2 linked regions of the Rhinolophus ferrumequinum genome follow. The protein of the gene in region 1 purifies or fractionates together with the protein of each later gene. This does not show direct contact. Links are inferred from orthologs where the notes say so. Each region holds a gene or a part of one and is shown on either strand. Other genes may lie near its edges. The genes, in order: HAUS5 and HAUS2.

Evidence for each region.
Region 2: the proteins of HAUS5 (region 1) and HAUS2 purify together in Homo sapiens (affinity purification with mass spectrometry; 5 studies listed by BioGRID and IntAct, with this or other methods). This does not show direct contact. The link is inferred for Rhinolophus ferrumequinum from reciprocal best matches to the Homo sapiens genes HAUS5 and HAUS2.

The regions. Positions count from the first base shown.
Region 1 is NC_046298.1:36,006,187-36,021,589, forward strand, and holds the start of HAUS5 (HAUS augmin-like complex subunit 5), read left to right. Parts: upstream 1-8,511; 5' UTR 8,512-8,554; coding exon 8,555-8,652; intron 8,653-9,360; coding exon 9,361-9,423; intron 9,424-9,512; coding exon 9,513-9,545; intron 9,546-9,664; coding exon 9,665-9,689; intron 9,690-10,292; coding exon 10,293-10,398; intron 10,399-10,477; coding exon 10,478-10,637; intron 10,638-11,752; coding exon 11,753-11,822; intron 11,823-11,903; coding exon 11,904-11,986; intron 11,987-12,493; coding exon 12,494-12,551; intron 12,552-12,705; coding exon 12,706-12,830; intron 12,831-13,017; coding exon 13,018-13,081; intron 13,082-13,190; coding exon 13,191-13,321; intron 13,322-13,519; coding exon 13,520-13,682; intron 13,683-13,885; coding exon 13,886-13,966; intron 13,967-14,054; coding exon 14,055-14,200; intron 14,201-14,455; coding exon 14,456-14,567; intron 14,568-14,649; coding exon 14,650-14,782; intron 14,783-15,403.
Region 2 is NC_046289.1:62,988,879-63,003,938, reverse strand, and holds the start of HAUS2 (HAUS augmin-like complex subunit 2), read left to right. Parts: upstream 1-7,716; 5' UTR 7,717-7,779; coding exon 7,780-7,872; intron 7,873-13,000; coding exon 13,001-13,093; intron 13,094-13,455; coding exon 13,456-13,525; intron 13,526-14,842; coding exon 14,843-14,975; intron 14,976-15,060. Other genes in the region: LRRC57 (leucine-rich repeat-containing protein 57), read right to left, coding at 3,621-3,662, 4,123-4,308, 6,207-6,475, 7,020-7,158, 7,265-7,348.

The sequences.
Region 1 (15,403 bases):
CACTCAGGGTCTGTCTTTGGGTGGAAAGATCATGCACGGGAAACAAGTCCCAGATTCTCCAGCGGAGAATCAGGAGACAGCCGACACAGCCGACACAGCCATCACAGCCATCCCACCTATCCCACCTATCCCACCTGTCCCACCTGTCCCACCTGTCCCACCTGTCCCACCTATCTCACCTGTGGAGGCTAAACAATCACAAGAGAGTATACAGACACCTGAAGAACTGGCATTTTATGCCCCAAGTCACATGTGTCTGACCATCCTGGCCATAATTACCTTCCCTCCCCTAGGGATACCAGCTGCCTTCTTCAGTTACAAGGTAAAATAATGCCTAAGTTATGACTCCCTACCTGCCCCTTGCATCTGCTTCTGTCCTGGGATGTGGGTAGGGGTTTTCCCTCAGTGGCAGCAGGTCTCTGGCCATCCCCCAAGGGTGTCACAAAGCTGGACTCAGAAACCGGTATCTAAAGTTCCCATCCCTACAGACTTTACAGGCCAACAAGAAAAGCAATTGGGAAGAAGCTTACATCAACTCAGGGCGAGCATGTTGGCTGGATGTATTCGCCATACTCATCGGTGTAGGCATCATTTATTACTATGTTCTATTTGCATGAAGGCCAGGCCCAGGAGCCCACAGGTCCACTCCCTAACAAGACCCACCACCACGCCATTAACCAGCCACATTAGCCATCATGCAAGAAACCAACAGCTGAGACATCCCCTAGCCAGGAAACCTACCAGCCAAGGAACTCAACATCCAAACAATCCACTAGCCCAGGAACATCATACTACTTTATCCTCTTGGCTTCCAGAGCTGTCTTCATCCACCTTGGGGGTCCTCACTTTCATGCCCTTAATGTCCTTAGCTCCCTGATAATGGGTTGCTATTTCAGAAAAACATTTATTTAAACCAATAAAATTGAAGGGAATGTTTCAGCTTTTCATGTGTGTGCATGTGAGACATTGATTTCAGCTTTGTGAGAATCTGAGCAGAGAACTCAGACATAATGTTTCTGGACTTCTCACCTACAGAACTGTGAGTTAATAAATGGCTGCTGTTTTAACCCACTAAGTGTATGGTGATTTCTTACATAGCAATAGGAAACTAATGTGCTGACCATTATAAAAGAAAACTAGGAATCAATAACAGAAAGATAACAGGAAAATCTCCAAACACTTGGGAAATAACCTACGCAAGTCAAAATAATTCATGGGTGAGGGGAAATCAGAAAATGTTCTTAACTGATTAAAACTGAAGTACTTGTATACAGTACATCAAAATATGTAGGATGTAATGAAAGCAGTCTTTAGAAGTAAATGTACAATCTCAAATGCTTATATTAGAAAATAAGAACTGTCTCAAATTAACAATATAAGCTTCCAATTTAAGAAAGTAGAAAAATAAGAGCAAAACAAACCCAAAGCAAACAGAAGAAAGAAGAGGTAGGAGTGGAAATTAATGAAATTGAAAAGGGAAACAATAGGGAAGAACAATGAAATCAAAGCTGGTTCTTTGAAAAGACCAATAAAACTGATAAACTTATAAGACTCACAAAATAAAAGAGAAAACACAAAATAAAAGAGAAAACACAAATATCAAAAATGAAGGAGAGAATATCACTACAGACCCCCTGAAACATTAAAGTAAAAATAAGGGACCATTACGAACAATGCTTCATATGTAAATTTTACAACTTAGATGAAAATTGACCCATTTTTCAAAAACAAAATCCAAAAACTGATCGAGGACAAAGAGATTATGTGAGTAATTTTATATCTGTTAAAGAAATTGATTTAGTAACGGAAAACCTTCTGAAAAAAGAAATCTCCAGACCCAGATGGTTTCCCTTGTAAATTGTACCAAACAAATACCATCATTTCCACACCATCTCTTCAGAAAATAGAAGAGAAGGGACTATTTCCCAACTCATTTTATGAGGCTAGCATTATCTTAATACTAAACCCAGATAAAGACTGTGTACAGAACACTACAGACCAATATCTCTCATGAATATAGACAGAAAAATTCTCAATGAAATATTAGAAAACCAAAAACAGAAGTATATAAATAGCATACACCATCACCAACATGGGTTCTCCCAAGAATTCAAAGTTGGTTCAATACTAGAAAATCAATCAACGTAATTCACTATATTAACTGTCCAAAGAAGGAAAACCACATGATTAATTGAGGCACAAAAGGCAATTCAACATCCATTCACAATAAAAACTCAGCAAACCAGAACTAACAGGGAACTTCCTCATCCTGATAAAAGATATCTACAGAAAACCTATAGCTACCATCATATGTAATGGTGAAAGAGAGAAGGCTTTCTTCCTGAAATGTGCAATAAGACAAGGATGTCCACTCTCACCACTTCTATCCACATCAGATAGAAGTCTTAATCAGCACAAGAAAAAGAAATAAAGGGCATACTGATTATAAAGGAAGAAATAAAACTACAGTTATTTGCAGATGACATGATTGTCTATGTAGAAAATCCCAAAGGAATCCAAAAAAAAAAAAAAAAGCCTCCTAGAATACATCAAATGCGGTTAGCAATATCACAGGTTGCAATATCGACATGCAAAAATCGATTGTATTTCCATGTGCTATCAAGGAACAATCAGAAAATAATTTTTAAAAAAATACCATTTTCAATAGCTCCCAAAAAGCAAGTAGTTAGATGTAAATCTAAAGTATCATGTGTAGGGACCGGCCCGGTGGCTCAGGCGGTTAGAGCTCCATGCTCCTAACTCTGAAGGCTGCCGGTTTGATTCCCACATGGCCCAGTGGGCTCTCAACCACAAGGTTGCCGGTTCAACTCCTGCATGGGATGGTGGGGTGGGTGCACCCCCTGCAACTAGCAACGGGCAACTGGACCTGGGAACTGAGCTGCACCCTCCACAACTAAGATTGAAAGGACAACAACTTGACTTGGAAAAAAGTCCTGGAAGTACACACTGTTCCCCCAATAAAGTCCTGTTCCCCTTCCCCCATAAAATTTTAATAAATAAATAAATAAAAATAAAGTATCATGTGTATGAGCTCTGTGTTTAAACTATAGCTGCTGATGAAAGAAATAAAACCTAAGTAAATGGAGAGCCTTCTTATGGTCATGAATTGGAAGGCTCAACATCTCTCCAAAATTGAGATGAAATTCTAATGCAATTCCTATTAAGAGACCAGAAAAGATTTGTAGATCTAGAAATGCGTAGTCAAAATAATTCTGAAAAAGAATAAAGCTGGAGTACCCACATTACCCAATTTTTAAGAATCACTGTAGATTTACATTGATAAGACACTGTGGTATTGACAACTGGGCAGACACATAGATCAACAGCATGGAATAAGGACTACAGAAAGAAATCTACATATATGGCCAATTTATTTTAAAAAGAAATCCAAAGGCAATTTATCAAAGAAAGAATAGTATTTTTAATGGTGTTAGAATAACTGAACCACCATATGCGAAACATCATTGATTTTGACTAAAACCTCACATCTTCTATGACTCAATGTGGATCATGGATCTAAATGTAAAATATAAAGCTATCAAACTTTAAGATGAAAACATGGGAGAACATCTTCCTGACCCTTGGTTAAGCAGAGTTCTTAGATATGATACCAAAAACATGTCCCTAAAAGAAAGAAATGTAGATTTCATCAATATTAAAAAACTTTTGCTCTGTAAATAACACTGTTAGAAAATGATGAGATCAGCTACAGACCCAGACAAAATATTTGCAAATCACATATCTGACAAAGGACTTGTATCTAAAATATATAAATGACACTGAAACTTCACTGTGATAAAAAACAATTTTTAATTGCATTTGTTGGGATAACATTGGTTAACGACATTATGTAAATTTCAGGTGTACATTATATTATGACATTGGTATATTCTATTGCGTGCTCACCACCCAAAGTCTAGTTTCCTTCTGTTACCATATACGTATCTGACTTCCTTTGCCCACTTTGTTCTCCCCCCACTCCCTCCCCTCTGATACCCAAAATTCTCTTGACTGTATCTATGAGTTTTAAAACAAACCAATTTTTTAAGGGGCAAAAGACTTGAACTAACACTTCACCGAAAAGGATATACAATGGCAAATAGGCACAAGAACAGATGTTAATTCTTACAAATATCACCCTTCACAACCTAGACAACCTGACTACAACTTGTTAAATGACCCCTCACAAGGTACCTAAAGCAATCCAAGACTCCTAGGTACACATCACTCTTGCCCTAATGGTGTCTCCCCAAACACTCCCGGAATGATCAATCACTTGAGAGAGTAGAAAGAGCCTGAACTCCTTCAGACCAATCAGCAGCCATGTGAGTATTGGCTTCAATGCCCTATCATGCAACCTCCAATCAGCCAATAGAAGTGGAAAGATAGACTAGGAAGCGGGGCCTAAATGGTCTCCATGGTAATCCCTGCCAGGCTGAGGTGAAGGAGAGGCTCTATGTAGTGCCAAATCCAAATGCCCTAATGTGGGTGCCTGAAGGGAGGGGCGTGGAGTTTTGGAGGGTGAGGGTGGAAGGAAGAGAATAGTGGGGGTAGAAGGGGAATGAGGGTCAAGGATGGGTTCATAATGAGGCAGAGAAGGTGTTATAATTAGAGAAGTATTTAGAGGGAACACAAGTTTAGGAGAAATCAGAGGCTGTAGTAGGTGGACACAGGAGTTCAAAGGTCAGGGAGGTGGTTGCAGAGGTAGAGAGAAGGTCTTAGAGAAAGAGCAGGACTTTATAAGGGGACAGAGAAAGGCTATGAGTGACACGAAAAGGACTTCAGGTTTATAGGTGCTCAAAGAAGGTCTTAGAAGAACCAGGTAAGAAGTTATGTGGGAGTTTATGGATGAACAATAAAGGGTCATAGCAGGACCAGACAGATTCACAGGGACCAAGGGAAGGATATTATAAATGTCACAAGCAGAGAGCTACTGATGACATTATAAGTTTTATAGGGTGAGACTTTTATAAGAAACAAAGTTTTACAGATGAAAAGTGAGTGTTAAAAGTATTGAGTGAGGGTCTTCTTAGTAGGGTGTTTTATAGGGGTAAAGAGAAGGTTGCTTGGGTGACAATGAGGGTGTTATAGGAACAAAGTGTGATAGTGGATCTGTTGAGGTTTCAGGGACCTAGAGAAAATCACATATTTGACAAAGGACTGTGTCCAAAATATATAAAAGACCCTCAAAACTAAACTTGTAAAAAAAACAAGTCCCTGGATTGATCAATCACCCAAGAGTGTAAGAAGGACTGGCAGGCCATCAGACCAATCAGCAATCAGGCGAGTATTGGCTTCCCGCCATATCACAGACAATCTCCAACCAGCCAATGAAAGTAAACAGCCAGGATAGGAGGAGGGGCCTGCCTGGTCTCCATGGTAATCCCCAGCGGGTTGGAGTGAGGGAGAGGCTCCGTGTAGCCAGATCCAGATGCCCTAATGGGGGTGTTTCAGGGGACAGGGAGGGAATTTATGGGGGAGGGGGTACAGGTGGGAGGGAAGGAGTTAAAGGGGAATGAGGGGCAAGGAAGTCTTCCTAAGCAGGCAAAGAGGGTGTTATAAATTGAGAAGTATTTAGAGGGAGCACAGCTTTAAGAGAACTGGGAGGCTGTAATAAGTGGATGCAAAAGGAGTTCAAAGGGTCAAGAAGCTGGTTAGAGAGAACATCTTAGAGGGAGGAATGGCAGGCCTTTATAAAGAAACAGAGACAAGCTAGGAGTGACAGGAGAAGGACTTAGAGTTGTTTTTAACAACTAGTGCTCAAGTTGTTTTTATTACAGTTTAGTTTTAAGGGTCATTTATATATTTTGGATACAGTCTTTTGTCAGACACATGATTTACACATATTTTCTCTGGGTCCCTGAAACCTCAGCTGATCCACTATCACATAGGTGCTTAAAGAAGGTCTTAGAGGAGCCTAGTGAGAGCTTGTGGAGCAGGGTTGAGGAGGGAAGAGTTTATGGGTCACAGCAGGATCAGACAGATTCATAGGGACAAAGTGAGGGATATTATAAATGGGGCAACAGAGAACTACAGACATTAGAAGTTTCATAGGATGAGAGTTTTATAAGGGACAATAAAGGTTTTACAGATGAAAAGTGAGTGTTAAAGTATTGAGTGAGGGTCTTCTTAGTAGGGTGTTTTATAGGTGCAAAGAGAAGTTTGATTGGGTGACAGTGAGGGTGTTATAGGAACGAAGTGTGATAGTGGATCTGTTAAGGTTTCAGGGAGCACAAATGAGAATCTTAAGAGTCAGTAAAGGATTTTGGGGTGGGATGGAGACAGTGGAAGTAGAAGGAGACAAGAGAGACATGCTGTAGAGGTCTGCAAGGCAGTTATAGAGGAGGTTATAGGAGACAGGGAAAGGGTTAGAGAGTAATTATAGGGCATAGGGGGAGGTGGGGGCTGGGACTTCCAGGGGACAGGGAGGTATTAACAGGGGTAGGGAGAGGTTAGAAGGGACATGGCTGAGTTAGATAGTCAATGAGTTTTAAAGGGAGGGGTCAATGAAGAATTTATGGGAGACAAGGAGAGATGTGTTAGTGTGAAAAGGGAAGTCAGAGGGGATGATGGAATCCAGAAGCCATACTAAGTCATAACCCACTCTCTTTCCCCAGGCGTTTGAAATTTTGCCTGGCAAGCCCCCCAAAGATTACATGTGCCTATCGATTTTGGCCTTCTTCCTGTGTTTTCCCATAGGCATTATAGCCTTGATCTTCTCTATCCAGGTGAGAAGCTGCATCACGCCAGTCCTTGCCCTCCTCTCCCTCTCCATCCTGGCCATAATCCTGACTCAAATTCTTCCTTGTTTCCCGGCTTTGGGTTCAGGTCCTCACCCTACATCCGTACAGTTCTATGGTTTACTCCCGTACAATACCTGTTTAAGCCCATCTATTCCTGTTCTACCTCTCCCCTCAAATCAGACAAGGCACAGCAACAAGTGGAATGAACGAGCCTTGGCAGCTGAGACCTCCCACCAAGTCTTCTACATTGCAGTCATAGGGATTGTTATGGGAAGCCTCATCATATTCATCCTCTTGATTTTCTACATGATGGACTTATTTTCTCGGTAACATCCTCTACAGTTCATGAACAAACCAACAAATATATACAACTGTGTTACTAACCCTTGGCTCTAAGTATTCAGTTGGGCCAAATGGGACTGGTGCTCCTCACTGTCTGGAGTGTCAAGTGTTGTCAACTTGAGTGAACAATTTGAGGTGGTTGATGGGGGAAGGAAGTGGTAGTTCAGGCAGCCCACTGGGCCAGAGCTCAAGACCAACCTTGGGACCATGCCAAGAGATGGGGGCCATAAGAGACAGGGTAGGGCAGCCTCCACTCCTGCCAATATTTGTGCATTCATGCCAGAAATCTATTTATGTTGACCAAGGGCCTTGACTATGCTGTCTGACTCTAGGAACATAGTAGTCACCAGTCAAGTTCCAACCACACCCCCTCATAACTTACAAACCAGAGTGGAAGGTAAATATATCACCAGATGGTTACAGTCCCTATTTCAAGGTCTGCTCCACCTAATGCCCACCAGAGCCCAGGGCCTCATGCTGCATGAGCCCCCTCTACAGCCAACAACCCCCTACACTCAGGCCCCTCCTATCTGCTCCATAGCCCTACTGTGGCCCACCACTGTCCTCGGGCCCCACTCCTCATCCTGCCCCACGCTCCTCCCTGGGTTCCCAGCTTTAGTGTCACTCCACCACCTGCCTCACCCCCCACCCCCGTTTGTTTTTTCAACAACTATTTAGAGAGTCAGACTCTGCACTGGACACTGAGGACAGACTGTTGACCTAGGCAAGCATGTTGAATAAAAGGTCCCTGAATGTTGCCATTTTTCAGGGCTCCATCTGAGGCTGACTGCGCTCTCCGGAACTCCAGCCCTAGTATCCAGTGCTTTCTGGGGCACCCCACAGACCTCTTACACGCCCTGCGTCCCAAATTGACAAAACCCTGCTGCTCACTTTCTACCATCCCTACCTGGTGATGCGTCTATGTCCCCCACTGAATTGTGAGCTCCCTAGCATGGAGACTGGGGCTGTCTCAGCCACTGAGGTGACCCCAGCCTAGGGGTCATGAATGTTATGGAATGGTAAGGACAAATGAATCTGGAAGAAAGCATGACAGGGAGATACTGGGTCATGGTATCCCTTACTCAGACCTGCGACAAGAGCAGTAAGTTTGGCATCTCTCCTGGTTCTCATCCTCCTAAGATGAAAGTCCCATTTTGTTAAGAAAATCAAGAGAGACCTTAGGGACGTTTTACCTCATAGGGAACAACTGGTAGTGAGAGGAAGGTTGCAAAAAGCAAGTGAGCCCCACCGCTTTTGCACGCCCCCGCCATCGTCTTTCAACCCGACCCATTCTGGAGGAGTGAGAGATGCAGGACAGCTCCTTGCAAAGCCTGGAGGCCCTGGTCTACCCGGCAACCGATGATGTCACTGTCGGCGCGCTGGGGACGTCAGAGCCGGGCGCCAAGCTCGAAGAGGGTGCGGGAAGCGGCGGCGGCCGAGGCGCTGTCATGGAGTTAGTGCAGGAAGTGCGGGAACTGGTATGCTGGGCGGCGGAAGAGATGGAGGCACCCGAGGCAGCCCGAGCCCCCGAGTCGACGCTGCGCAGGTGAGGGCCGCTCTGGGAGTGAGGACTCCCCATGCTGGAGATGATGTCTCTGGAAGAACCCCTTCTTTACTGAAGATGCGCCTTCCTCCTCCTTCGCCCCAGGGACAATAACCCCTAAGGGCGCACCCCCCCCACCCCCCGTGTAGTATATATCTAGGAAGAGAATACTGAACTTGAGTGAGGACGTCCTGGCGGTAACCCCCACACTCCATCCCCACCCTTGAGACCGCCCAGAGTGAGGTCCCTGGCACCAGTGAGGGTCGTCCGTGATGCGTTAATGAAGCCCCCTTCCCGTGTTGTGTTTAAATAGGATCTCCTGGGTAAGGCTGTCCCTGCAGCACCCCACCACCCACCACCCACCCCAGCCAGTGAGGACACTCTGGAGTCAGCAAACCCATTGGAGATTGAATCTGTATGAGTGAACCCCGCATCCAGTAATGAAAGCACTTCCTGGCAGTATACCCCCACCCCCACCTCTGGAAGTAACTGGAAATAATCCTCTCCCAGAAGAAAGGGAGCACCCCACCAGAGAATGAAATATCCCCACACCCAGTGAGAGGCCCACACTCTCAGTGACCCACCCAGGAGGGAATATCTTACCCCAAAAAGTATGAACCCTCCCCCCCACCAGAAATGAGATTCCTTAGTAAAGACCTTCCCCACCACCCCGAGAATGAGAATCCTCCTACCTGGGTGATGTCCCCACAGGCTGTGTCTGGGCCAGGGGGCTGACATCTGGGCCTACGTCTTGCGGCACGTGCACAGCCAGAGGTGAGCCTGGCTGCATGAAGGAGGCTGTGGCCGGGGAGGGGACACAGGCATGTCCCACAGTAACTCTTCCTCCTACCTTTCCACTGCAGAAATGTCAAGAAGATCCGGGGAAACCTACTCTGGTAACTGGTCCTCAACACTCTCCCTTCCTATCTTCCCCAGTCCCATCCAGCCCTGTCCCCACCTTCAGCCTCACCCTGGAAGCCCCTGTCGTCCCCTAACTCTGGCCTCATTTCCTCAGGTATGGCCACCAGTGCAATCCAGAGGTGAGAAGTATGTGCTACAAGGTTTTTTTTTCATCCAGAAAGAGGACTTGTAGATCTTCTGCTCTAGGCCCAGGCTTGTGTTGGGTGACGCTGGGGACACTGACTCACAAGACAGCCCCAATCCATGCACTCAGGGTTTACAGTCCAGAGGGAGACAGTCAGGAGCTGGGGGGGGCGGGGTATGGACATGAGGCATCAAAGTTGGTGAGGGAAGATGAGAGAATGGACTAGTTTGGGAGAGATTCTGAGACCAGTGTGGGACCCAGTCAGTATGTGCCCGGAGCCCAGGTGACATCTAGGGGGAGGCTTCCAGGAGACCTCGGGACTCCTAGCTGTGGGCTCACTGGGACAGAGATGTGGTATCATCAGTACAGAGACGGGAAATGGGTTGGGAGGCTGATATCATTCTAGGAGGAAGGAGGGGGGCCAGTAGCGTTCCCTAGTGCTCTTCTGGAGCTAGGGGTTCAGACACATGACCAGCTTAGGAAAAACCCTCTACCACACCCCCGGGCGGGTGGGGAGCTTGGTGCCCCGCAAAGCACAGTCAGGCCAGGCCGAGCCCCAGCCAGGTGACGCATCTGATCCTGCACCTGATCCCACCAGGCACGTCGGAAGTTGGAGCTGGAAGCTGCTGTCGCCCGCCTGCAGGCAGAGATCCAAGAGTTAGACCAGAGCCTGGAGCTAATGGATCGAGAGAGCGAGGCTCAGGGTGACCCATGGGACTGGACAGATGGGCAGCAGAAGGGAGGCTGGGGAAGTACTGATGGCCACCCCTGTTCCTCCCACAGACACAGCCCTGGAGCAGGCACTGCAGGGCATGCAAGACACCCAGCGGCGTGCTCTCCTCCTCCGGGCACAAGCTGGGGCCGTGCGAAGACAGCAGCGTCGGCTCCAACATCCCATGCAGTGGCTACAGAATCAGCTCAGGCGCCTGCAGGACATAGAGAGGTGAGCCTCAGGTGCCCAGGGACCAGCCATCACCAGGCTGGGTAGACAGACCTTTTCCTTAGAGACCCCAGGACTCTGTCCTGACCCCTTCTTGAGTTCCAGATGTCTGAGCTCCACTCGTTAGGTTTTAAAGTCCTTGAGGCCAGGAAGTTTTGTCATCTCAACCACCTGTATTTCCAGTGACTAGAATGGTGCCAACTGTATATCTAGAACACCAGTGTTGGAAAAGAACAGTAAACAAGGGACAACCCTGCCCTCATGGAGCTTACACTCCGAGGCAGAGGAGGCAGATGGTAAACTAGGAAGCAAACACACCGTAGAATTACAGGTAGAGATAAGTGCTGTGAGGGAACGGTCATATGATAGAAGGTAGAAGGGAGGTGCTATTCTAGGTAGGATGGTCAGAGAAGGTCTCTCTGAAGAGGTAACATTTGAGTTGGGGAAGGAATTTCCATGAAGAGGGGACAGCCAGATCAGAGGCCCTGAACTTGGGATGTGGGAAGAATAGCCAGGAGGGCAGTTCAGCTTAAGTATCATAGGCGAGAGGAACAGCATGAGGAGGTGAGATTGGAGAGGTGGACAAAGCACCATGGAGGCGTGGGAATTCTACTCTGAGGCTGAGTTGATGCCCTGGCTTAGCCAGTTACACCTGTGTGACCTTGGGCAAAATTTGTGCCTCAGTTTCTAACATCTATAGAATGGGAATAATATTACCTGCTTTATAAGGTTGGCATGATAATTAAGTGAGTTAAGTCATGCAAAGTGCTCAGAAGAGTTTGTTACCCATTGCTGTTATTCTGAGGGTGATGAGGACATATCATATTGTCTTTGAGGTTTTTGAGCAGAACAGTGACTTGATCTGTCTGAGGTTTTAACAGGATCATTAGCTACTGGTGGAGAGCAGACTGAAGGGGGCGAGAGCAGGCAGACCAGTGAGGAGGCTAATGTAGTCATCCAGCCAGATGGCAGTGGCCTAACTTTGGAGGTGGCCCCTGAGCTCCAGGGTCAGTGATCCCTGTAACTAGCTTTGCTGGCAGCAGGAGGGGGCACAGATATCAGTTCTCCCAGCTCCCTCCTTCCAGGGACCCCAGCCCCAACTGCACTCCTCTCTCCAGGAAGGCCAAAGTGGATATAACCTTTGGACCCTTGACATCAGCAGCCCTGGGCCTAGAGCCTGAGGTCCTGGTAAGAGTCCTGGGTCATGGGGGAAGGGGTGGGGACCCAGGTGGACCCCTGGGTCCTCCTCATGCCCCATTCTCTTCCCAGGGTGATGTCCGAACAGCCTGTACCCTCCGAACCCAGTTCCTACAGAACCTCCTGATTCCTCAGACCAAAGGAGGCAGCTTCCTGTGAGTGTCCCCCAGCTCCCAGAAACCCTGGAGAGAACTTGGGCTTTGGCAGGAGTTACGTACTTGGCTGTTAATTCCTCGGACACTGGGCCTCTGGGCTGTGTCAGCCCCAGGGCCTTCCCTGACAGGGCTCCCCGGCGAGGAAGAGGTGGAGACAGACCCATCACACAGTGGTTAGGGCTATTGGGGAATGGGGAAAGAAGCCTGAGGGGCTCTGGGTTCCCAGAGGAGACACCCTGCCCAGTTAAGGACACAAGAAGGATGGGTTCTCTAGGGAAGAGACTTAGCAAGGGTAAAAGGCTGAGTGGGTTTTCCAGGCAAGCAGCACATGTGTAAGGGCCCAAGGCCAGCAAGTGGGTATAAGTGGGGAACTCGAGTCTAGCCAGCATAGATGAACTTGGTTTTCTCGTCTGTAAATTGGGGGCAGTGACAGCTCCCACTTTGTAGGGTGGTGGTAATCACAGATGTGTGTTGTAACATTCTCTGTCCCTTCCCCCAACCCCACAGAACCTCTCGAGATGACCACTTTGGAGCTTCCTACCAGCAGTGGCTTAGCTCAGTGGAGGTGAGGAGGGCTCTCAGAAAAGGCCACGCCCACTGCCCCATGATCAAACCTCAGGATGCCAGCACCTGATTCTTTATCGCAGCCTGGTCCCCACAGGGTCCGAGCTCACCGCCCTGCCCCCATCCTGCCCTGACTTCACCCCTCCCTCTACTAGACACTGTTGACAAGCCACCCTCCAGGCCATGTCCTGGCCGCCTTGGAGCACCTGGCTGCAGAGCGGGAGGCAGAGATCCGGTCCCTGTGCAGTCCGGACGGGCTCCGAGATACAGAGATAGCCAGGTGTGAAGTAGAGTGCTTCTGTAGTCAGGCAGCACGGGTGATTGGGTGAGCAGGGACAGGGTCAGGACCTGCTCATGAGGGTGGAACTGAAAGCAAGGGACCGAACCCCGGTGGGCTGACATTGGCTACCCTCGAAGGTCCAAGCAAGGAGACAGGCTCCTCTCTCAGCAGTGTCACCCATCCCTAGGTCCGAGGAACCAGACCAGTCAGACTCCAGCCAGGCCCTGCCGTCCATGGTGCATCTCATCCAGGTGACCGGCAGGCACCCTTCCTAGACTCCATCCCCTTCCCATGCCAAGACCACTCGATCCCCTCACCCCCAGGGACGACACCCACCCTGACTTTGTACCCGTGCCACAGGAGGGCTGGCAGACTGTGGGTACACTGGTCACCCAGCGGGGCCCGCTCCTGAAGGAGCATCAAATTCTGACCCGGCGCCTGCAGAGCCTGATGGAGGAGGTGGCAAGATGTACCCCCGAACCCAGCGAGAGGTGAGGGGGCTCCCTGGGCAGAGGCCTCTGGGCCATCTCTCTCCTTAGGGTCTCAGGATACTAGACTTTTTCTGCCCCCGTGGTTCCGTCTGCCTCCCGGCTCTGTGTGTTTGTGGCTCCTACAGATCTTATCTCCCCGCCTCCACTGTGAGTCTTAGTCACCTTCCTGTCCCTTGCTCTCTCCTGCTTGTCCCCCAGGCAGGCATTGCTGCTGGAGCTCCGGAGCTGTGGCCTGTGGGCAGAGCTCAAGGCCCTGTGTACCCAGAGCCACGAGCTGGAGGAGGCAGCTGTGCAGCGGCAGCTTCTGCTGCAGGAGCTACAGGCCAAACAACAGCGGATCCTGCACTGGCGCCGGCTGATGGTGAGAAGTGGGACCCCGGGGGAGATGGCAGGGCCTGGTGGCCGGCCGAGTGAGGCTGGGAGCCTTATGATCCAGAGCTGGGCCTCCTGGTCTGGGGTGAGGCCCAGGGTGAGTGTCTCAAGAGGAAGCAGGACCTGTGCAAAGGGGAGGGCAGAGCGAGAGGCTGGGAGGTTGGAAGGAAAAGCAGTTTGTTTCGGTTCCAGGAGGAGACACAGGAACAGGTCCGCTTGCTCATCAAGGGCAACTCAGCCAGCAAGACACACTTGTGCCGGAGCCCCGGGGAGGTGAGCTGGGATTTGGATAGGACCCAGTCTCCTAAGGAAGGGTCTGGTGCTCTCAGGCTGTCCCTCCTACCCCTTTCCTACCGCACAGGTGCTGGCTCTGGTTCAGCGAAAAGTGGCCCCCACCTCTGAAGCCGTGGCACCACAGAGCCAGGAGCTGCTTCACTGTCTGGAGGAGGAGGCCCGGCATCTGCCCCACCTTCTGCTGGGCACCCTGCTTCGGCACAGCCCCAGAGGGTGAGACTAGGACCACCCCTCCATCCCCTCGCTAGGATGACTGTCAGTCCCTGGGCCACTGGGTCTCAATAATCCCAGACCCCCCGTTTTCCCAGGCTGCCAGACCTCACCCTCAGGTCCTCAGCCCCACTCTGGAATCCTAGTCCCCAGACCCACCTCCAAGTTCCGGGGCCTCCCGAGCCCACCTGTCAGCCCCCAGAGCCTCTGGAACCAAGCTTCCCTCTCTGTCCCACCCAACCTGGACTCTCCCCGCAGGTTGCAACCCCTGCCCACAGTCCTGCCGTCCATCCACCAGCTGCATCCTGCATCCTCAAGGGGCTCCAGCCTCATAGAGCTAAGCCACAAGCTGGGGTTACCTCCAGGGAAGGTGAGTACCTGTCCCCTAGGTGAGTACCTGTCGTCCCACTCCTATCCCTCCCAAGGTGACTGTCCTTCACCCCTCCCTCCAGGCTCCAGAGCTGCTCCTTCCAAAGGCCACCTCTCTTCGCCAGGACCTTCTGTTCCTCCAGGACCAGCGGAGTCTCCGGTGCTGGGATCTTCTCCACATGAAGACCAGCCTATCTCCAGGACCATCTACCCAGGGTAGGCCTGTCCATTCCCAGGACCGTCAGCCTCCAGAACTAATCACGACGCCCCCTGCTGCCGCAGAGCCTTGTGTGCTTCAAGCATGTCCACTAGTTGCATCTGTACAGCCGCTCCTGGGGTTAGTGCTGCCATTCTCCCCGTTTTACAGACGTAGAACCTGGACGCAGAGGCCTTGGTAGCTGCCCAGATGGCAGAGCTAGGATTTGAATCCAGGCAGTCTGACTCCTGATGGGTGTGTGCTCTAGGTGACACTGCCCATCTAATTGCCAAGTACTCCTTCGTCACCATCCAATAGTATACTTGAGTAGTTAAAAACTGGGCTATGGAGTTAAACTACCTGGATTGTCTTCTCAGCACTGTCTCTTCTTGTGTGATCTCCCTGTGCCTCAGTTTCCTCCTCAGTAAGTAAGCATAACAATAGTACCTTATACAGTTGCTAGGAAAATGGAGTCAGGTTACCCAGATGGGGCACTGAACAAAGCAGGGCGTGCAGTAAGCGCTCTGTGCTCTGGGGAGATCGCGATCATTTTGTCTACACGTGCTCAGTCTCTTCCAGTCCTTATCATGAGGGAAGTTAGGGGTTAAGATTCGGTTTACAGATGAGGAAACTGAAACTCA
Region 2 (15,060 bases), on another chromosome or scaffold:
TTTCCCATTTTTATTGGAAATACTGACAGCATTCTCCTTTCTATGATTTGTCATGAGGTACATTTTAATCATTAACTAGTTTTTTATTCATTTGCGCCTAAATACACTAGTGACTGAAAGGATAATGTTTATAAAAGAGAACTATAAGCCACTTGAGAAGATACAGATAAGATGGGAATTTTCAAAGGCTGAAGAGGAAACTAGTTCAAGTGAGATTCAGTTAGGCTCTCTGTAATAGATATGCTCCATGTCAAAAGGAGTAGTTAGGCAGGTGATGGTACATGTATAAAGTAAGAAGGTTTAAAACACTGAGGATTGTTCTATACCTAAATCCCCTTCCTAAAAGCATTTTTAAAAAATATTTTTTAACGGTTATAGCTAAAGGAAAGTTTTGAGAATACCAATATGCTATCTCCACAGTATAATTGGTAAGTGTGAGCTTAAGCACCAAATTGTCTGGATTTACACTCTAGCTCTGCCGTTTGCTGGCTGAGTGACTGTAAGACCATTTCTGTGCTTCAGTTTCCTTGTCTGTAAATGGGGATTAACAATTCCTACCTCAGAGTTATTGCAAAGACTCAACATGATAATAATGCAGGGAGAGCACTTAGAGCAGGGCCCAGCTAAGAGCTTAATAAATGATAGCTACTGTTTGTTCTCTCTAGAATGGAGCTCTTTTTGGGTCAAGGATCCCTTTGTAAATTTGATGAAAGACAACACAGCTTATTTCCCCAGAGAAATAGACACACAAACATGAATCATGCATAAATTGGTCTTGAAAACCCATCCATGAATTTCAGATTACAAAGCTTTTCAAAGATTGTGCTACTGAGAAAGAAGAGGGATGAGGCCATAAAAATTAGGCCCATAATACACTAGAAATAGAAGCTGTTGACGTAAAGTCTTTTCTGATTTTCTTCTGTAACATTGTTTGGACACTTGTTTCCATTACTTCTGAAAGGTAACTGAAGTGGTTAACACAACTTTGGAGTCACCTGAATTCAAATTTTGGTTCAGTCATTTACTATCTATGTGACCATGAGCATAATACTAACTTATAACTAAGGAGTTAAAAAACAGTATTCCCTACTGAAATCTTTTTTTTTAACAGTAGTCTCCTTCTTCAAGTTTCCAGTCTTATTATGACAATGATCTTTATCCCCTATAGTCGTGCCTTTGTTTTCTTCCTTCAGTTCTAAATTCATCCTTTAATTACCACTTCAGCTCTGTATCTTTTCCTGCCATGTGTGGATTATGAACATCCCCTTAACTTAAATTTCTATTTCCCAGACATCCTATACTCACCTGTACTTAGAATTAGTTTCTTTAGGTCACTTTCTTACTAAAATTCTAAGTTATCCCAGTTACATTCCTAGTCAGATTTGTAATTTTCAGATTGATACCCAAGTTCCTTATTCTCTAGTTGTTGTTTTTTACCCTTTTTAACTTGATGTCTGCTCCAAGCCTTTCTTTTCTGTACCACTTGGTAAATTCTATTTTAATACCTTACAGGTGAAATAAATGGCACCGTGTGAGTGCTCACTCTGTCCTGGGCACTATGCTGAATGCTTTTTATGTATCTTTTCACCACATCCTCATAATTTACCTGAGGGTAGCAGGTATTGCCTGTTACAGATGAGACTAAATGGCTCAAATTCATAGTTAGTAAATGACACTGGATTCAAACCAGGATCTTTTCAGACTCCAAGACTTATGATCGTAGTCAGTATTCTACACTGACTTCTACGCAAACTCTAAAAGAATGTGGGTGACTTAGTAGTGGTCACTAGAATGTGGGTCTCCAGCCCACAAGTCAACCTACTTTGTTAGCTCATATTTAAGTCTAAATACTTGTGTACTATAACTTGGGGTGTATTGCTTTACATAGTTCCTGCATTCAAAGAGCTCAGTTTAGCAAGAGACAGTTGAATATAGAATGTGAGAGGTGCTGTTGAAACAGATGGAAGAGCAATTAATTTGGCTTAGACTTAGAAAGGGGCTTAGACATAGGGAAGGAGCATGTTAGTAAGAGAGCATTTCTGACTGAGCCAACAATGTAAAGGCAGCTAAAGGTGAAAGACATTGCACTGTGTGTCTAAAGAGCAGAACAATCTGGTATTACTCGGTAGGCAAAGGATAGTGAAGAAAGTTTTTGGAAATCAGTCTGGGTCTAAGTTGTGCAAGTGGTGACTGTCGTAGGGATGGGGACATTGAGGTTTAATTTGTAAGTGCTGATTTAGTAGATGATAAGTACTGGTAAAATATTTAGAGAAATGTGAATTGTTCAGTGAGAAGACCAATAAGATTAATTAAACATTAAAGTTTATTTTTAAAAACTCAGTTAATAATGATAAACTGGCACCCCGTTCCTCCCCAAATTGAGAAACAAAATAACATGGGAAAAAGATTTAAAGTTAGGAGACTTCCTCGTATATATTAAATACTAGGCTGCTAAGATCTCTTGACTTAAAGGTTAAACTAGGTTTGTAAAATGAGAACTGTCAATACATGACATATAATACCTTTGTACCTTCAGTATTTCTTAATCAGCATGGGTCCGATACCACAAAATGTTTCATCAGTCACATGAAGGCATCACAGTACTCATGCAACCTGAACAGGAAACGCTTCTTCCTAATCAGTTTACTTTCAAATAAAGGAGCACTTATAGGTTAAAGTTCTCATGTCTTCCTTTTAAAGGATTAACCTTTCTTCCAGCCAAAGTTTATTACAAATTCTTTATTTAGTGTATTCTCTCCTTCAGAGAATAAACTTGATAAATATAGGTTGTTTTAAAATATCGTAGTAGTGTTTTGATAGGTAATTTGATTAGTATAGTTATAAATACAAAAAGGGAAAAGGATTACCAGAAATGAGACATTATTTCTAACAAAGATTCAGGAAAATCTTGATTATTAAAACCTCTTGTATCTTACAAGTTTTGCATATATGGTTTTAGCTCTTCGGAGCCCTCTACCAATAAGGCACCTGCAGTAGTTAGAATTTGCTACTGCAGCCTTGGGGAACATATCTTACTCTTGTATTGGTGCTTCTCTGACAAAGTACACTTCTAATCAGGACAGTCACATTCATGTACATCCTAAATTCCAAGTATAAATACTGGAACTGAACTGATAGACTGGAATAAAATCACAAATCTTTAGTAGCCTTTCACAAATTATTTGAATTTCAAAAAATGTGAAATGCTAACACAGAGATGGAATGGCAGCTGATTTTATGAAAGTTGACACGTTGAAACTAAATATGAAATTTCAAGCTGAGGTGTGGAGCTATTCTATTACCAGGCAGCACCCCCTCACTGTAGAAATAGCAACTTGCTACTGGTTCCTTAAAGCCAACATTACGATGATTTTGAAGATCAGCATTGTCCATTGCCCTAAACATGACTCAAAATGGAGCACTCTTTCTGTCTCTTGATTCCTTTTAGCTTATTTGAGATAAGCTCTAGAAAGGAAAAAGATCAAATAAAATTATAACCTCCTGGAGTATCAACAGCTCACTGCAGATGCCCTTGACAACAACAAGCGCCTTTGATTCAGCCCGATTGCAACAGGTTCCAAATCAATGTCCTGTATGGATTCCCATGCTCCTGGAGAACATCATGCAAACTTCTTCTTGGTGGCCGTGTACCTCTCCATGTACTAAAAATCATGAAAGAAAAATATGTATGGGGTATTTTGGCATGAGCAAATAGTAGCCTATTTGGGAATTGGGTTTTTATATGATTTTTTTAATTTAGATTTTATCGGATACGGTCCTTCATTTCCTACAAAATCTACCTATTCTAAATGCAAATTTAAAGTACATAGTTTTGGGGTCTTTTAAATTTTTCAGTGTTTTAATAGGAAACCTATCAAAAGACAAAGATGCTTCACCATACATGATCTAGAGAAAAAGTTATCTTGGTATAATACAAGAATTTGCACCAATATATCTTGGTACAGGAATTTGATTCTTAGAACATCTCCAAAATGGGAAACAAATCCTGTTGACAAACAGGATTATACAGACAGCCTCTAGCTGTAAACATTTATGTGGGTTACTTCACTGTTCTGTTCTCTGGAGCAGAGACTAGAAATGTAGAAGTACACTAATACCCACCTTATCATAGCCTTCTAGTTCTCGAAGTTTCTTTATTTCAAAAAGGTTGCCTTCCACAGCAAGCAGACAGATCTGGGAATCACTAAGGATGCTTTGTGGAAGCATGCTGAGCTCCAAGCAGTTCTCTTCGAGGCGAAGAACTTTCAGGCGAGGACAGCAAGATATCTTTACTGAGACCTGAGATATCTATTGAACAACCAAAAACAATAACAGGAAAAAGCATAAGTACTGTAATGGTTTTTTACTAAATTAAAACAAAAAATCTTGACTATGTGTCCTAGTTTTCCTTTTACCGCCTCCATTTTCTCACTACCTACTCATTCCAGAAGCCTCTGTCATCTGGCTTTTGTTAACTACTCCTCCACTTTTTTTTGGGGGGAGGGGGGTTTGGCTTTTTAAAGTCCACCATTGGATTTTTGGAAGTAAAATTTTCTGATAAAAGCAGAAATTTGAGAATCTCACAAGTTTACAGAAAAAAGTTACCTGGAATCCACCACCATAAACATTTTGGTTTATTTACTGGAAGTCTTTTATGTGTATAAAAATGTGTGATTGTATATCTACCCCTTCCTTGAAACTCTTGTATCTAAGTACTGGGTTTTTCTTCCTCTTGAATTATTCCTGGTTTTTGGCTTCCCTTCTTATTTCTATGGACATTTTTCAGGCAGTAGTCCCTAATACTTAATATTTGATCTCTCTAAACTTTCTCCTACAAAGCTCATCCTTTCTTAAAGCTATCATTCTGACCTCAGAATCTGTCTACATTCAAACTTCTGACCTCTATTCCACGCCTGTGTCTCGTTTTTAGTATAACATTTCCATTTGGGTGATGCACCAGCATAATCAACTCAGTATGTTTATTCTCAATAGCACCACTCTTTTAGGCTCTCAACCTTAACAACAAGCAGTTATCTTGATTCACCTCTTTTCCACGTCACCAAATTATATTTATTTTGCCTCATCCTCCAATCATCACCGGAGAACTTGTTAGAAATGCAAATTCTCAGACCCCACCCCAGACCTACTGAATCAGAAATACTGAGAGCAGGGGCCCAGTGATCTCTTAACAGGTTCCCCTGGTTGTTTTGATGCACGCTAAGATCTGAGAACTGATAAAGGCATCAGCGTAGGTGAATGGAGTGAGTGCTCCACTAATCCTTGTTTAACAATGGTTTCTAAGTTTTTCCCAAATATTCACTTTCTTTTTCTAAAAAGCTCAAGAACATACAAGAATATCCACTTAAGGAAAAGATGAGGCCAATCTCCTCTAAGACAGACTAAATTTCATAATAATGTAAGGTCACTACAATCTAGAGTAGTTTCGTCCCAATAAAACTTTTTGCAATGCTTGGAATGTTCTATATGCCATCCAATATGGTAGCCACTAGCCACATATGGCTTTTGAACCACTTAAAATATAGCTAGTGGCAGCTGGACTTGAATTTTTTAATTAATGAATTTCAATAGCCGCATGTGGCCAGTGGCTACTGTATTGGACTATAGATCTAGAAGCCCCAGAAAAACTAAAGGCCACCTGGTAGTCTTCATTATGTTTAATGTTTACCATCTGTGCCTTCTGTCTAAACCAAAGATTGTTTCTCCAGTCAGATGCATATTAACCAAAGAGCTTCCAGAGTAATGGAAACAAATTCCAAATACTGCAATCAAAGCTGTCCACTATGAAATGGGCTGTCTCCAGAATGCCTATCACTGAGAGTTTTTTCAACAAAAGCAAGATACATACTTGACAAACGTCAAAAATAGGACAACTGAATTACCTTTGATGTCCAACTCTGAGAACCTAGGAGTTGAAGCCTCTTTTCAACTCTTCCTGACATAGCTAGCTCCTTGCCAGATGACTAGAGGCATGCTTGAGGAGGATCTGAAGAACTCTTCAAGATTTGTGAGACAGTTTAACTTGAAATTATCTCACTGTTACCCATCCCACCCTCCAAAAAAATACCTACGCAGTGTCTCAACTAACTCTATGGCACTTTGGGCTTTGAAATTAGTCCAGCCCATGATACCCAGCTCCATGATGACATTTTACATAACAACCAGCTAAAACCCGTTAACCTCTAGACCTGGTTCTGGTTGAAGTTGAGTTCGATGACCTGCAGCTCCCCCACTATGTCAGGTATGCTTCGAATCTGGTTCTTAGAGAGATCCACCACATCCAGGTGCCGCAGGCTACAAAGTTGGGGTGGTAGTGCTCCCAGCCGGTTCCCAGAGAGGCTCAGGGTCTTCAGCGCTGACAATTGCCCAAAGGTAGTCGGCAGCTCTCTCAAGTGATTATTGTTGAGGCTTAGCGTTTCTAGTTTTTTCAGATTGCCTAACTCATCAGGAAGAAAAGCTGGCAAAAAAATAAATAAAGTGAACCTGACAGCTGAAAAACAACTTTGATGAAGTTTATAAAAACTATATGGCAGCCTGCTATGCCCCTTGTTAATACACACAATCCTCACGTGCCATTTTTAAGTATTGCATTTTTACCAACATAGACTTCGGAAATGAGGGTGCCATCGAAATGCAGAAAAGCAGTTATGTGTATAATGGCTCTTTGTAAAGGGGCCACCGCACAATCTGACAGCAATTTTGTGGGATTTGGAAGGGCCGCCCCTTCCCATTCCACACCCCCCCTTCCAAACTGGCAACAAAATTAGGTATTTAGATGACAAAGATGGCTTTCCCCTTCAAATTATCCCAATACCAATCATTACACCACTAGAAGAGGCTTGTAGATGTAATTACGAGAGAAAGCTGCAAGGACTCTGACATTCTCCTGCGTCTTGAGCTCTCTGAACGATTTCATAACAACAACAATCAGCTTGTGAGAGAACACCACCCTTCTTAACAGCTGATCAGTAGCAAAACCTTCCCAGACGCAAAAGCCATACTCAGTTTGTTGTTGTTCAAGGAGAGGCTCTTCAGCAGAATGAACTTCCCTATAATCATAGGCGGTAGGCTTTCGATCTTGTTGTTGGACAAGTCGATGGTCCTGAGATTGCTCGTCAGTTTCTGCAACTCTGAGGGGAACTGGAGAAAAGGGTTCACAGCACGGAGAATCCCTCACCAATTAACTTCACTGCCCCCGCCGTCCCTCTCCCTTTAAATTCTCTGGTCGGGTCCCTCCCAGTCTCACCTCGGTCAGCCCACGGTCCTTAAGCTGAAAGACTCCAGTTTTCTGCGCCGTTTCCACATGAGCGCGGAGCGCACTGTTTCCCATCCTAGCTCTGCAGCTCCGGTCCCTGCGGGAAAGAAGTGCAGCTGTCACCCCCTCGGTCCAGGAACCCAGCCACCCCGTCGGCCTCCCGGCTGGGTCTCCTGCCCCGGCTGTCACCTGCAGATCTCTGGATCTTGGGGGCCAACCCAAGAGTGGCAAGGAAGAAAGGGAAAAACAGAGCCCGACCACTTTTGCAGTTGTTCCGCGGCTACACGCCGCTAGGAGCTTATAGAGGATCAGGGAGCCCTGGACTCGCCTCCCACCCCTCCGCTCACAGCCCGCTCCACAGAAGACCCAGGACCCGCGCTCGCTGGGAATGCGCTCTCCCGGCTTCCGCCCCAACGGAAACGGCCTGTGACGTCATCGAGCTGCGCGTCGCTCGCGCCTTGCGTTCTACTTATTTTCGGCGGCACCGGGAGAGGTGGGTCTGAGCCATGGAGGCCGCGAACCCGTGGGACGAGACGTCCGAGCCAAACGCTGCCAGGCTACTGCTGGGCCGTTTCGTAGCATCGGGGTTGGTCACTCAGGTAGGAGGGCAGCGATGGCGTCATTAAGGGGTTGCCCACTGTGGTGACCGAACATCACTCAAGCGGTGGTGCTGGCTGGGGGCTGTACTAGAATAGAGGCAGATGGAGCCCCTTCCAGGCAACAGCAGATACCATTCTGCAATGGGTCTTAAGCGTAGTAGATGGTAATTCGAGTAGACGACGTGTCAAGTGTCTTATCTGCAGGCGACTATCCCAGGTCAGTTCGTGGGAGACAGTAAAGACCAGTGTTCACCCGCTTTTTTTGTCCAGTGATAACTGCCTCTAGATTGTAATGGGTGGCGGGATTGGGAAATACGGCTAGGTTAGTTAAAATATACATTCGCAAACGACGCTCGTTTGTGTGAGATGCTGAAAGATACTTGGGGCGGAAGGCTCTGGGTACAGGAGAGCTCCAGGGGAAGGTCACATTTTTAAGGTACCCCCCGGCCCCCCAAAAAAAATCCGTATTGGGGAAAAAGACCCGAAAGGCTAGAACATGAATGGAGGAAAAGATTAATTTTGAGAAGGAGAGACCAGGGAGATTAGCCCAAGGGGAGGTAGTTTTAGGTTGGACCAGAAGACATGTTCATAGGCCAAATGGAAGGAGCCAACAGAGGGAGCAATGGAAGATGTGAAGGAATAATAGAATGCAGGTGGCAGAAGTGACCAGGGAAAGTGGAATTAAGGGAAATAAGGGAAAAGAATTTTCAGATGAGGAAGTTGAGAATTTCACTAAAAAAGGAAACAAAAAAGTAGAAAGGTGAAATCATCTGCAGAGATTAGCAGTATAAACATGATGGAAGACTTATGGAAAATACTCTTTTTATGCTTAGAAGAGTCATTAGAGAATCCTACTGCCTCACAGTATTTTAAAAGTAAAGAAGCTAAGACCTAAAGAGACCAAGAAATTTGCCCAAGGTCACTCAACTAATGACGTAGCATTAGATACTAGAGCTCTCCCTTTTCTGACATAGTGATCATCCCTAAGATGAACTGTGATAGATGATACTGTGACACTATCTTCAAAGTGTTTAAACTTCAGTTGAAAAACTCTTAAATTACTTGAAGACCTAGTAACAAGACCTTACGGATTGTGGGGGAAACGAGGAGTAGTAATGAATGTATTGGAAAATAGACAAAACATACCACAGCACTCACTAGTTTTCACCTTCCTTACTTCTCTCCTGTGTTTCCTTCATACCAAGTTGCCTAGTACTCTCACTTGTTACCAGTTCTGTAACAAAATAATTTGATAACTCATACTGTAATGTAAGACATTTGGGACTTATCCATCTGGAACTATTGGTGTAAGTATAAACGCCTAAACTAAAGGAGTAAGTCTCTGGTGAGAAAATTTTAGGCATTGATGGATGAGCTGTTTGTTGGAGTGGTGGTTGTTTGGGGGAAGGACTCTTCCTAGTGTCTGTCCTTCAAGAAACAATAATTAGACAGTTACCTGTCTTCCCTATAGGTAAGACCTGCCAATCCATAGTTCCTTAAAACCATTTTAAAATCTTACTGCACAGCGAGTCCCGATGAGGAAACTTACGGGTCTGTAGCATGATTTCACTTTCAACAAATTTTGCATATGAAAACCTACCTTTATTAGGATTCAGCATTGATTCTTTCAAAATGATGTATTATGTGATCCCTTTAAACAGCCCACCCCTTAAGTGCACTTTATCCCATGTGCATTAAAAATTAAGAGTGATGCTTAAAACTGTGACACGATACATCTCTTCTAGAAAACAGCTTGTTTGAGCTTTCTTCTGTTTTGCTGTATCCATTAGAGAATTACTTAGTGAAAGAAAGGTAGGGTTAACTGTCTGTAAGATAATGAGGTATTTGCTTTCATTTATGCCCTAAGACTGCTTTAGTGGCCTTACATTCTAGATATTTTTCAGGCAACTTTGATTGAGTATGACATCTTGATCAAAGCTCTCTCTACTGGCAACACATAAGATAAGGATCTGGACCTACAAAAAAACCAGACTCTACTATTTACATATATATGTATTTCCTCGATATGTGTCCTGTCCTCCTCTGCACTTTCACCCCCATGTTAGAGCCTCTGCTCTAACTTCTCTGTTGTACAGCTCCCCTTTTAATGTCCGCCAACTAGAGTTCAGTATAAAGAAGGGACATAAAAAAGAAGAAAGGATGCCTACAGGTGTGTGTGTGTGTGTGTTACACAGTGTTGTTAGGATTTTTATATTAAGCATAAACGTCCTGGATTTCAGCTGCATGTGCCTAGAAAAAGTAAACAAATACCATAAACAGACCCCTTTTCTCAGGATTCCTTTCATTCTCTAGGGTCCCTTTGCTCCAGTGGCATGTAAAGTATATAATATATAATGGCAATAGTCAATGGTAAAGAATTTTCTCTATTCCCTAATCCTTGCTTTTTAAAAATTTTATTTAGGTGTAGGGCTAATTAACATTCTTCAAATAATTAGAATTTCTGTTTACTAGAGGAATTTGGCTGCTCTTTGTTCCTCCTTTTTGGCTCTCCCCTTCTTGAACATTCTTATTTTCCTTCTGGTTTCTTGTACAAGTTCTTGGCTAAGCTCCATTACGCAGTTGTTGAACCCAGTAGTTTACTAGTTTGCAAATGTGCAACTAAGATTAGTGAATACATATAGAGACATGGAAAGATACCAGAGAGTGAGTAAGTTACAATGAGAAATGGGAGATGTTTTACTTTCATTCACCTTCTACCGAGAGAGAGCAGAAAGACAAGTCAGGCTGATATGATGGAAATACAGTAGATTTGATTGTATCATTGCAACACTGATAACAATTTGCAGTGTGAAGTTGGAGTAATACTTAACCTCACCAATCTTCAATTTTGCCGTCAGTAAAAATATCTTGTGTTGTCTACCTCAGTGAATGGCATAAATATCTGTTCAGTCACCTGAAACAGGATCCTTGGAGTCAGTATTAACTTGACCCCAACTACCCCTGACAACTAGTAGGACTTATCAAATACATCTTCCCAGGGACTCATATCTCTGCCTTCCTTTCCTTTTTAACTGCTACTGACCTAGTTCACATTCTTATCTTCTCATCTGAAATGCTGTAGCAGCCACCTGTCTACATACCCATCCTCCAGTTTACCCTCCACTAGAGTTTTTTGTTTTATTTTTGTTGTATTTGTTGGCTAGTTACCAGAGTGAGGTTCTTTTATTATAGCAAAATCCACATAACATGAAATTTACAGTTTTAACCATCTTAAAGTATACAAATCAGTGGCATGAAGTACAGTCACAATGTTGTGAAACTATTTGCAAAACTTTTTTTATCGGGCTGGCCCGGTGGCTCAGGCGGTTGGAGCTCCATGCTCCTAACTCCGAAAGCTGCCGGTTTGATTCCCACATGGGCCAATGGGCTCTCAACCACAAGGTTGCCAGTTCGATTCCTCGACTCCCGCAAGGGATGGTGGGCAGCGCCCCCTGCAACTAGCAATGACAACTGGACCTGGGCTGAGCTGCGCCCTCCACAACTAAGACTGAAAGGACAACAACTTGAAGCTGAACGGCACCCTCCACAACTAAGATTGAAAGGACAACAACTTGACTTGGAAAAAAGTCCTGGAAGTACACACTGTTCTCCAATAAAATCCTGTTCCCCTTCCCCAATAAAAATCTTTAAAAAAAACAAACAAAAAAACCACTTTTTTATCATCCCCAGTGGTAACCCCATACTCATTAAGTACTCATTCCCCACTCCTTCTTCTCCCCAGCCCCATTGGTTTTAGTTTTCATTCTACCCCCATTTAAATTTCTAAAATATGTATTGTATATAATCATGTTACTTCTTCAGCAGAAAATTTGCAGTTGCTCTCATTTCTTCATTATGATTGCGTGTCATAGCTATCAAGATCTTCCATGAATATGCAGGAAACTATGTTTCCAGATTCATCTTCTCCTTCTCACATATCTATTAGTACTAACACAGTTTGGAGTATTTATGATAATAAGTTCTTTCTATCTAGAAAACTTTTTTCTTCCCATCCATCATGAGCTTGTTAAGGGCAAAGAGCTTGTTTCATTCATTCTTGATTTTTTTTTCCATTACCTATCTTAACAAATGTCTATAAAATTGGTTATTATCAGTCAGCAAATTTGCTGTGAAGGACCAGAGAGTAAGCGTTTGAGGCTTTTCAGTCCACATGGTTGCAAGTGGGCTGTTACATTGTGAAAGCAGCCAGAGATAATAAGTAAATGAGTGAGAAGTGGAGTTCCAATAAAACTTTATTTCTGGACCCTAAAACTTGAATTTGATATAATTTTCATGTGTCAAAATATTATTTTTCTTTTCATTTTCCCCCCAACCATTAAAAAATACAAATACCATTCTTAGCCCATAGGCTGTACAAAAACAGGCAGTGGGCTACATTTATCTCATGGGCTCTAGTTTCCTAATCCCTGTCCTATATGATCTCTAAAGTTCTTTCCTGTACTAACATTCTAGAAAAGCAGAAAAGGATACAGAAAATTATGGATGAAGCCAAGGGATGAACAAGATAACATTCTTATTCTGAGATAACATGCAATTTAAGGAGGCAATATAATGGAATGAAAGGATAAAAACGGGGTAGCCTTTTTAGAAGAGTAATTATGCCTGGACAAAACATCCCTTTATCTGAGAGTCAGAATGTGAAGAGATAATATGAACGATGTGTAACCAATAGAAGTCATTTAATGAGTCAGATAAATAACCCCTGGGGGGTAAGGGTGGGAGGGGAATGTTTGATCTTAGCCCCAGGAATGTCTGAGAGTTTAGGTCTTGGTCTTTTGTGTAGAGGTGATTCTCTACCAACCTCGGAATCCTCTGATAAGCTATCAGTAATGCAACTCAATTGTGCCTGGTACTTTAGGAAGTAATGCAAAGTGATTAAGTCTTCGTTTATTCTTAATTTTTAAATGTTGGGGCAAAGGCTTTGTGATATTGGTGGCTTTAAAAACAGGAATTACCCATCGCTACTGTTCTACTCTATACTACATTTTTCAGGGCCAGTGTTGGACATTATATATCCTCATGTTTTAGATCCATGGGCATGCTTTTCCAATGCACATAGAAACTTTTTTGTGACATATTATTGCTTTCTCTGTTCACTTTTCAATAGGAGATGCTAAATATATCTAAGAAATCAGCTTCTTGCTTTGTGAACTTCTCCAGGCTACAGCAGATCACAAATATTCAAGCTGAAATCAACCAGGTAAATTATGTTGAACTTTTTACTTTATACTTCTAGTACAGGAAAACAAAATCTTAGTTCGTTCCACCAGCAATTCTCTTGCACTTAGAACAGTGTCTAGTACATAGCCAGGTAGGTGTTTACTTATAGTAGTTAATAGTATTTGTAATAGTAATAGTAGCAGTTAGTAGTAGTAGCAGGAGCACATGGCTCGAACACCAAAATGAAAAGCTTCAGTAAATCCCCTGGGCTGTCATAACAAATCATCCTCCCACCCCTCTTAAATATTCCTGGGTTAAAGAGTGTCCATTTTTATCAGAGTTTAAGCCTTTACATCAGGATACTTCTGAGTGACCTAAATATTATTTTTGTTTTTACTGTAGAAAAACCTGGAAATTGAACTTCTAAGACTAGAAAAAGATACAGCTGATGTTGTTCATCCTTCCTTTTTGGGTAAGTGGTTTGGTTAAATGGGTAATCATTGGAATTTCAGCTTTTTCTTAGATTACCTTAAATAAGCACCAGGCATTATGATATACCATTATTTTTCCTGGTATTTCCCCAAAGCTAACCAAGTTTTCTATTTCTGTGCCCAAATAGAAGTCCTGTTGGCTTGACTAGTGCAAATTGCATAAAAAGTGACCAATGTAGGAACTCCTCAAAGTCAGGAGAGCTTGAAAGACAAAAAAGGGCTGAGGAATTTTTCAGATGAAAGGAGCCTAAAGGGACATGACAGCTAAAGCACAGTGTGGTCATAGGTTGAATACTTGGTTAGAAAAATCTTTTTTGCTATAAAGGACATTATTGGAATACTTAGTGTTTAAATATGGGCCGTATTAAATATTGGTAGTATTGTGTCAGTGTTAAATTTTCTGAATTTGATACTTTAATGTAGTTATATAAGAGAATGTTCCTATTCTTGGGAAATACTTGCTGAAGTTTTAGGGGTAAAAGGTCCTAATATCTGCAATTTACTCTCAAAAGCATCAGCAAAAATATATGTAAGAGTATGGAGAGAAAGAGGCAAAAAAAAAATGCAGCTAAGTGTTAACAGTTGGTGAATCTAGGTGAAATGTATATGAGAGTTCAATGAGCTATTCTTGAAACTTTTCTGTACGTTTGAAATGTTTTCAAAATAAAAATTTAAAAGAAGGGGCAGCCAATTAGTTCAATTGGTTAGAGCGCGGTGCTCTTAACAACAAGGTTGCCTGTTGGATACACACATGGGCCACTGTGAGTTGCGCCCTCCGCAACTAGATTGAAACAACTACTTGACTTGGAGCTGATGGGTCCTGGAAAAACACACTTAAAATAAATAAAAAGTTAAAAAAAAAAAAGCATTACAAAGATATTTTAAAAGAAAAGGCAGTTGGCAGCTATTAACTGAATTCTGGGGAAAATATTGAAATAATCAGAAATAGCTTATAAGACAAATGTTTGTTTTTTAATGTTTGTATAGACTATTAAAAGCAAAGATGAGAAAAGAGACTTTGTGAAGAATATGACTCTGGCTATAAAAACTGAACTAGGGGTAGAGTTGAAAAACACAAAGAATTTAGCACTGGGTTTGGTTTCAGTAGCAAAAGTAAGAGAAAATAGTTGAAAATGAAATTGGTATTGGTTTTAAGGATAGCAAAAGGGAACTATTTAGGAGGGAAATGGAGGAATAATCTTTGGTAGAGTCAAACCAAAGCAGAGAAGAATTTATTAGTGATTTCAACATGTACTTGTCCTATTGCTAACTGTAATTACTGTTTCTGGTTTGTGTAGATGAAAAGTGTCATACTCTGCAAAATATGAATAATCATTTGGAAGCAGTGCTAAAAGAGAAGCGGTCACTCAGGCAAAGACTATTGAAACCCATGTGCCAGGAAAACCTGCCTATTGAGTCTGTTTATCACAGGTCAGACCAAAAAATAGAAATTAACAATTAACACATGTTTTCTGAAGGTAGTTTAGACCAGTAGTCATCTCATCACATAATTCAT